Linked DNA regions of Drosophila melanogaster. The protein of the gene in region 2 interacts with the protein of the main gene of each other region in a pairwise test. Each region holds a gene or a part of one and is shown on either strand. Other genes may lie near its edges.

Evidence for each region. Proteins that work in one complex are often made in the same cells at the same time.
Region 1: the proteins of CG18011 (region 2) and Dlip1 interact in a two-hybrid assay, tested with the Drosophila melanogaster proteins (2 studies listed by BioGRID).

What each region holds. Positions count from the first base shown.
Region 1 is NC_004354.4:9,156,712-9,159,911, forward strand, and holds Dlip1 (dorsal interacting protein 1), read left to right. Parts: upstream 1-1,910; 5' UTR 1,911-1,965; coding exon 1,966-2,365; intron 2,366-2,425; coding exon 2,426-2,556; 3' UTR 2,557-2,664; downstream 2,665-3,200. Other genes in the region: Ost48 (oligosaccharyltransferase 48kD subunit), read right to left, coding at 297-1,504, 1,579-1,720; NdufA3 (NADH:ubiquinone oxidoreductase subunit A3), read right to left, coding at 2,895-3,128.
Region 2 is NT_033778.4:10,140,686-10,146,728, reverse strand, and holds CG18011 (uncharacterized protein), read right to left. Parts: upstream 4,392-6,043; 5' UTR 4,345-4,391; coding exon 3,591-4,344; intron 3,537-3,590; coding exon 3,381-3,536; intron 3,321-3,380; coding exon 3,059-3,320; intron 3,000-3,058; coding exon 2,847-2,999; intron 2,785-2,846; coding exon 2,641-2,784; intron 2,588-2,640; coding exon 2,452-2,587; intron 2,376-2,451; coding exon 1,920-2,375; intron 1,858-1,919; coding exon 1,671-1,857; intron 1,613-1,670; coding exon 1,380-1,612; intron 1,324-1,379; coding exon 847-1,323; 3' UTR 655-846; coding exon of another isoform or gene 568-654; 3' UTR 523-567; downstream 1-522. Other genes in the region: KCNQ potassium channel, read left to right, coding at 1-21, 286-500, 568-654; Or46a (odorant receptor 46a), read right to left, coding at 4,695-4,748, 4,810-5,910.

The sequences.
Region 1 (3,200 bases), on a different chromosome or scaffold from region 2:
GCCTACTTCGATTGTATTCGATTACACTCGATTGTCTGACAAGACCATGCCCGCCAAATAGTTTGGTTCTGTTCTTTGCTAATTACATTTTTATAACTTTTTAAAATTTTTTTAACTCCAACCTAAGATTAAAAATGAATATGTTTTAATGGGTTGGACTCTGCTAATTTTAATGAAATATAAGCTTCATTAAGCAAAAAAAAAGCCAAGTTCTTTTATGGATTGTGGGTTTCTCTCTGCAGAGAACTTTATTTTAGTGCATTGTGTGTTACATTTGAGTTGAACGAACGTGCATACTACTGCGACTTCTTGTCCTCCTTGGCGGCCCTGCCCACGGGCTCATCCTTGAAGTGAAGGAACACGAATGAGAAGACAAACACGCCGATCATCATTGAGAAGGCGCTGGTGTAGTAGGGGAATGCGCTCGGGATAAAGCGCTCGTACTGTGTGTGCTCCAGCGGACGCACCGACACCTGGGTGGTGCTGTACAGATGCGTGTAGCCCACGCGATTGTAGTCCACCTTGAACTGATAAACGCCGTAGACGTCGGGTATCTTGAATTTGGCCTGGTAGGCGCCCGTGTTCGTTTGCTTCAGATAGGTGCGGACGAAGGGATCGATGCGCACGAACTCCAGTTGAATGTCGCTGGCCTTAAAGGCGCGCCACTCGCCCTGCACCAGCTCCTCGATGCCGATGGTGTAGACGACCGGATCGGTGATGGTGTACGCCTGATCCGGTGGCAGCAGCTCGCCCTCCTTGTGATGTTGCACGGATGCCACGCGCAAGCGGCCAGTCTCTCCAAATACCCACTTGCTAATGGACTCGGCCACGTCGCGATTACCGGCCAGCTTGTGGAACACACCGCTCTGTGCGTACTGCACGGCCGTTGTGAAGCTCTCGTCAGAGAAGAAGAGCAGCGAGCCGGAGAACACTACGCGGGCATTGTTCCTCGCCTGCAGGGCGGCGATTAGCAGCGTGCCTCGGCCAACGGCATGCGGATAGTCGGAGACACTTGCCTCGGGATTGTAGCTATAGGCGGTGCTCTCGGCGGTCAGCAGCTTGAGTACCAGCGGGTTCTCCTTGTCGGCAATCAGTCCTGTACCGCGATAGAGCAGCGGTGCGGCATCCGCCTGCCTGTTGGCCTTGCCCACAATGGTGTCGGCCTGTATAAGATTCTTGGCGGAGGTCAGGATGGTTGTGTGCTCGCCAGCATCGCTAACATCGTAGTGCAGATGGTCAATGACCGCCGCATTCTCCTCGTCCAGCTCGAAGCCGCACTCGGAGGCGAATTCCCTTAGCGCGTCGCCGGATTTCTCGCTGCCCGCCACCAGAACATTGCCGCCATCGTCGACGAACTGGGCCAAACGCTCCACGCTCACATCGCCGCCGAATTCCTCGACACTTGGTGCGAATATGATGACGTTCTTGTACAGATATTCACCGTATTTGGACAGCAGCAGGCTGGAGTCATCCGCCAGTTTGTAGGTGAGCTTAAATCCGCGATCTGTAGCCCAAAGTTAAACAATTATCAACACATTTCATTGTCCACGTCAGAGGTTAACCGGCATTTTCACTCACCCTGCAGCGATTTGAAGAAGATCGAGTGGGTTTCCCGGATGGCCAGGTTGTCCAGCAGAACCAAGGTGTTGGCGTCCGTTTCCAGTACCGCCTGGCAGTGGGCAATCGCCAAAACGGCGATCAGGAGAGCCTTCCACATCATTTTATCCAACTAAAACACAAAATTCTCTCCGGCTTTTCTTGAAAAAAAAAAATGACTGGCTGTCAGTGTGGCCGAATACTGGTAGGGTGTGCCAAAATATATACAAATATACCAGAAGGAATTCAAGAAATTATAAAAAATCGATGATTTGATTAATAATCGATTACATTTACTAGCCAATTTATAAACAAAACATTTTAATTCAAATTTTAGATTGTGAATAACATTCCTTAGCAACAACCATAATGGACATATTCGAGAGCTTCTGTCGCACGTGCGGAAACGAATGCCTGGAATCGCTGTCCATTTACAATGAGTGTGCCCAAGTGCTTGACCAGATGGTGCCCATTGCGGATATGCTAGCGTCCTGCCTGCCCGCCTCCTTGCCGCCACTGGACCCAGAGGACGACTATCCCAAACAGATCTGCCGCATCTGCGTGAAGAAGCTGTCGATGGCCTACGAGTTCAGCCACCAGTGGCTGGGCGCCCACGGCGAGTTCAACGTGGCCCTAAAGTTCGAGCAGCGCCGAAGGCGCAGCCAGGCCAGCAAATCCCAGTCGCACACGCAAACCCAAACTCATCCGGTGGAACCGAAGAATGAGCAACTGCCCACGGTGCTGGCGGAAGCAGTGTCGACCAAAAGAGGTGGGTGTACAATTTTCTTATCTAGGCTAGGTAGATTTCAAACTTCTCAATCTTCCCCAGCAGCTGCTACTCCCACCAACGAGTTCAGCAGCGACTCCGGACCGGCCTTCAAGTGCGGCTTCTGCGGCGAATGTTTTTACACGGAGAAGGCCTGCAAATTTCACTTAAAGTTCTCGCACAAGGATCTTTAGAGAACTGTCTGTTTTTTCCCTTACTTGTAATTTGGTTTTAAGTGTATAAATCTTTTGTGAAATTAATTTTAAATTAGGAATATATATATATATTCCTTCTCTTTATACAAGTGCCTTCTTTGAGTTTTTAAACCCAAAACGTTGCAATTGTAGGGATATAGAGTGCATTTGTGTAAGTATGAAACACAAAAAAAACCTGGAAAACTACTACCCGCTATAGTTGAACCACTGAACACTGGCTTTTGTACATTTGGATGTTTGTTTTACTTAGCTTTAGAGTAAACAAAAAAAAATCAAAGATGAAAGCCGACAGGATTTTTCCGAAGGGTCCAACTCCTCTAGTCATCCTCGTCGTTGCGCACCTTCAGGGCGCGCGGATCGTCGTGGCGGTAGACAACGTAGCCGAGCTTGTAGCGTCGGTTATCGCCGTCCTTGGCATAGTAGTTGGCCACTCCGATGGTGGCCATAACGATTCCGGCGAGGGCCAAAGCGGATCCGCCGACGATGTCCGGAATCTCGTTCCAGGCGCGCTTCAGCAGCGATGTGGAGCCTCGGGCAGCGGATGCGGACATCTTGGTACACTGCGGGATGGGGCTATTAGTTCACTGGGCGCAGCAAATAAAATTATAAAGCATTTACCAAAA
Region 2 (6,043 bases):
CAACGCCGCCAGATAGTTCAAGTAACTAAAAATTAGATCTATTCTATTTATAGTATTATTTTCGTAAAAGTTTTAGACTACTTGCCTAGCGAATGGGAACATAAATAAAACGTTAAATCATTATATTGGCTTTTTTTGTTTCTATATTTTTTTAATTTCCTTTTTATAACTATGAATTAAATGTATATCGACAGATTAGAGAATTCTTATTTTAAAAAATATGATACGTGTTGTGAAAGCATTTAAAAGTTAGATTATTCTAAACACAAACTATCTCCCATTTAGTTATATTAATCGATGAGTACGAGGACTTCGAGGAGGAGGATCTTAACTGTGAGGGTGAAATGGATCATTTCCCCACTTGGGAGATCGACAGTGATATTGGCGTAGAAGTCGATGTGGACGCGGATGCCGATGGCGACTGTGATGAGTCCACCGAGGACACGGCGCTGCTGCAGTGTGCCACGCGCACCGCCATTGTTATAACACCAATTAGCCCAGTAAGTCTTGGAAGATTTGTTTCATTTCGTTAAGAATCTTTTTAAAACAAGTTAATAACAATTTCAGGTAAGCTCCGCACACAATCTTCAGCAATTAAATGACCAAACTACAACGCTTAATAAATCAAATTTGCTTCCGCCAGACTCTGGCTAGTTAATTGCAATTGAAATTAGCTAAAGTAGCCATTACATTATCACTAGAATTATATATTATATACTATGGAATGCATATTAATGTCATTTTGGGACATCATTTGTGTTCAATTAATTGGTAGCAAACAAATGAAAATCAAACTAAATAAATCTGTTTTAGCAGCAAATCTTACATTACCGAAATGTACCAGCCTTAATTCTGTGTGTCCTCATCTGGTATCTCGTCAATAAAATCGTCCGCCTCCTCGTCATCATCTTCCATCACTATGTCATCCCCATCTGCTTCCTCTATAAACTCATTATTTTCATTTAGGCGGCGCTTTTTAGATGTGGATGGCGCATCATCGGTGATGTATTCGTCCTCCTCAACCACATCCTCCTGGAGCAAAATGATGCCATCGTGAATCTTTCGGACATGCACATTCAACTGGGAACTGTTTACAAAAGTCCGTCCACAGCCGCCGTCGAAATAGTCGCGGCACGTGTATTTATCACCATGGGCTCGCTGCATGTGCGTCTTCAATCCTTGACTGCGTCCAAACCTCTTTTTACACACGTTGCACTCGAACGCGAATCGCTTGTAGTGCTGACCAAGAACATGAACAGAAAGGGACTTTTTGTTCCTGGTGGTGAAACTGCACTGTTCGCAGCTGTAAGACTGCCCATGAAGCTGCAGGAAATATGCTATTAATATGAACCGTTTGTGGATCCGTCTACTGCACTGACCTTTTGATGAGCTTCCATTTCACTCTTGTGATAAAAGCCCTTTTGACAGACACTGCAGGAATAGCGCTTCTTATTCGAATGCACCACATTGACATGAGTGTCATAATTTCGTCGGTTTTTGACGATTTTAAAGCACTCAGGACACTCTATTGGTTCATGCCAATAGGCATGGTGCTTGGCCAGAGCATCATGGCTTTTGTACGAAGAATTGCATAACGGACAAGTGACGTTGTCTTAAATATAAAATTATTTATTAAAAGAAGAACATATTATAAAGCACACCATACTTACCATTGTTATGACTCCTTGCCACATGAACAGACAAGGACATCTTTGACCGGCATTCCTTTAAGCAAAACTGGCAAACCCATTCCTGGGCAGACTTTGAACTCTTCTCGGCCTGCTTGCTCGCGGATTCGTGTGTGCGCCGCTTGTGTGTGTACAAGGAGTTCCAGTTCACGTAAGACTCTGTGCAGTTCTGAAAGGAGAGGAAATAATGTTATGATCAAACGTTCTGTGACCAAACGCAGGACAACTCACTTCCTGGTCGCACATGTAGTAAACACATATTTCTAGCCTGCGATGTGTTGAGTCCGATCGAAGTTGTTGATAGTTGCGCAGGTGATGGCGATAAAGTTTCATATGTGGGAATTCTTTGCCGCAGGGCTGACACAAAAACACTCCATCTTTATGTACCCCGGAATCGCGATGGGCTTGAAGACAGTCCTTTTCCTTGAAGTACGAGGAACAGTACTCGCACACATAAGCATCCCGTAGGAGTTCCACGTCTATCTTCGAGCCAAAACAGGCTGTCTTCACGGAATTTACATGGGCTAGGAGGGTTTCGCGGCTATCACTTAATAGACCGCAGGTGCTGCACACGTGCACATCTTTTTCGATGATCAGATGCTTCTTCATGTGAATATTGTAAGTAGCTTCGGTGGCAAATTCCCGGGAACAAAGTTCACAGCTTATTACACTGCCGTGCATGGCTCTCTGAAAGAAGGATTTCAATTACTTCCTGTACCACAAAGCGTATTCGAAGGATTTGATGTTTAGATTCATGCCCTACCATGTGTCCATTTAGCCGGCCCCGCGACTCAAAGTTGGCCATACATTCGCTGCAAGAGTAGGTCGTGCTGCTAACATTGGCATGCGACTTATTGTGCTCCATAAAAACGGAGGGGTCCCGGAAAGTGCGGTCGCAACTAGGGGATAAATAATTAATATAAATGTCTTAACAAGCATTTGTAATACTAACAGGTCGCAGAATAAGGTGCCCACTGGCTCATGAGAATAATTTAAATGCTGAAAAAGTTCATCTATGTTCGTGGTGGCATAGTCACAGACGAAGCAAGCTCTTGGTCTGTGCTTTTCTAAGTGAAACTGGCTGTGGAAATTAAAACTGTAAAGAAATATAAGTATTATTAGTATTGGTTTGGTTAACTTTAGAGAGAATAAACATACCGCTTCCAGGAAGGAAACTCCAGCGAACACATTTCACAATAAGAGCGAAAACCTCGCTTCTTTTTTATTACATGCGCGCAAGAATGCTTGTTGTACTGCAGAATGTTGGAGAACGTCAATTTACATTCCGGACAGCTGCCGTAGATCGGAATTCTAGGTAATACAAGCATCATATATATTACACAAATATTTCCTTTAGTAAATATAATTACTCAGCCACTGGCGCGTGCAACAAAACAAGATGCATGGCTAGGAATTTGCGACCTTTCAACTCCTTGTTGCATCCTTCGATGGGACACTCGTAGACATCTCTCCGGCTTTTGTGTGCCTTTGACAAGTGACTAAAAAGGCTCTCGAATGTGGGACATTTCAGAGAGCAGTGCTTGCACACAGTGCACCACTGAAATGTCAGCTTTTCAAAGCTCGTCTTCACCACGGTGGCCAAGTACTCCGGAATATTATCAACTTCATCCTCTGTAAATGTAAAGATATGTAGAATTGTGATTGCCTTTTAGTTTTTGATATTATACCCACTCTCTTTGATGTCCACAAAGTTAAACAGAACAACATTGCTAGTCTCTCCCTCGTCGATGTCATCATCGCTTTGACTTTCCTCAGCTTGAGCTACCAATCTAGACGAACAACTTATGGGTTTTACCTTAACATTGTCCAAATTTGGATCCATAACATCTAGAACAATTTAAGTGTTACTTAATGGACGGAAAAGGTAAAATTAAAACAAACCCTCATGCTCGTATATGTAAACATTCTCATCCGGATTGGTGTCTGTCACAGCCTCGCTGTTTAGGATGACTATTTGGCCAGGGGCTTCTGTTTCCTCTGTGACCTGGACAGCTTCACTGGACTCCTCTTTCACTGCGGTCTCATCCTCAACAACAGCTTCCTCTTCGTCCAGAATATTTTGTATAAGCACACTAAAATGTTCCTGATCTGCTACTTTAGAAACCAGTTTTGGCTCACTTTTGGAAACAGCATCTTCGGTGGAAGGCGTCTCTGGTGGCTCTGGAGATCTAGATGTATCAGGCGTTACATTGGAAGCAGCAGCCGCTCTATTCCTTATCCGGGCACTCGGTTCCCGGGTGGGAATAATGGGCACTGGTCGCAGAACCTTAGTCAGGGGCCTTGAAGGCACTGTTTTCTTGGCTGGTTTCGCAGCTGGTGGAGTTGCCTGGACCTCGGTAATAATAATGGGGTCCTCCTCTGCCTTGGAATCTTTGCCCTGGGCCGCATCCTTCGCAGCTTCCCGTTCTCTTTCCAGTTCATCGATGTCAAAGAGGCGAATGAGATTGGTGACACACACTTCGCACAGGAGTTGCTGCTTCTGCGGATCGGGCGACACTTCGAGCTGGTAATGCCTGGACAGCAGGGACTGCAGTCCCAGTTCGATTCCAAACTCATCGAAGATCTCCTGGTACTGGTATTTCGTACTGAATACGCTGCAATGCAGGCAGCTATTGTTTTTCGCGTTTTCCGACATCTTAATCTTTGTCCGTCAGCAAATTGTAGGCGTTATGGCATTTCTGGTTTGTTTTTTAGTGTTACCTTTCCGTACCAGCAGCTGTCTGGTATTTTCCGCAGTGTGACTGTCTTGCGCAGATTTCTAAAACCGTTACCACGATTTGAAAATAGTGTGAAAATAAATAGGCATAAAAAGTAAATAAAAGATTTAGGAAACCCCAAGGAAAGAAGACACAATTAGTTTTTCGAACTATATAATAAGCAACTGCTAATTTCTACACAATAATTTCATTTAATGTACGTGCATAACGTTTTGAGTGCTTTTAAAAATCGGCTTGAAAATCTTTAGGTGCTGCGGTGTTTCGAAATTTAACTGTTGACGCGCTTCAGCAGTGCGAAGTAGCTGTAGGAGCAGTTGACGATCTGAAAGGAGAAGAGCATAACCAGTAATAAATGATATATAAAGGAATTTCTGCTGCCCTACAGAACCAAAGGCCTCCAAGCTGAAAGCAAAGGTGGGGTTAAAGGTGCTCAGGAGCATCGGGGAATTAAAGCGCTGCATCATGAGAAGGACAATCCGGCGGTTTGCCCTGTTCCATCCCGTCCATTGGGAGCTGTAGATGCTGTGACACAACCTAGAGCTCTGGACAGTTACCTCGTTGGAGGCGTAGCAAATGATGAAGATCTGCCAGAGCATCACCAGCTGATAGATACAGGTCTTGAGCATAAAGATGGCATCGCCGTTTGCAATGGACATGGTGGACATGTCGTACAGGTTGGACACCAGCACCAGAACAGAACACATGAGCTGCACAGATCCTGGCCCCTTTATGAACAGCTCCACCAGGTCCTTGAAACGAACAATCCTGTTGTAGTAGGCGGCACACTCACGCAGTTCCATTGCGATTTTCTCATTATCCTGGGGTTCGATCACAGGACCCAACTTTTCTAATCGCAGGACCAGCATTTGTAGCTGAACCTTCAAGAAACAGAGCAACGAGTAGGCCACCGAGTCGTAGGTTATATTCAGCACACAAGTGGGCAGCAGGCAAATCGAGTGGAAAAGGTACTGCGACCAATAGCAGATCCATCCCTCGATGCTGCATACCTCCAACATGGCCAGTGGTAGCTCGCCAAAGTTGTCGAAACAGGGAACTATAAGGATCAGGGAAGCCGCGCCCAGGGACATGATGCCGTAGGAGTTCCTCATGCGGACAACCGCCACTCTATCCAATTCCAGCATCTGCATTTCCTGTTCACTTTTAACGCCGAACTCTGGGGACAACATCGCATCAACCAAGCCAGCGAGTTTGCGGCTCTTCAACTTCAAATGCAATAATTTGGCCATGCAGGATATTTCCGTGGCGAACATGAAGAATACCTTTAGGATCTCCCTAACTTGGGAAATGTTGTTCAACATTTCGAAGGAGAAAAGCAGCAGCATGATGAACAGGATGACCAGGATGAAGCCAAACCTCATGGACTGAAAACGACGCTGGTGGTCTGCGGCCCAAGTGGGGAGCTGCCAAACACCAAGGATTTGGAAGTACCACACCTGGTACTTATAAAAGTCCTCCGTAACCATCTGATGCTGAGACATGCTGACAATTTTCACTTTTCCATCATGAACCGCACGAGGAAAGCCTTTTATAGGCCACGAACTTAAATTCGCTAATGAGCCTCATTATGGAAATTGGCTACAGTGCACAAAAAAGTCA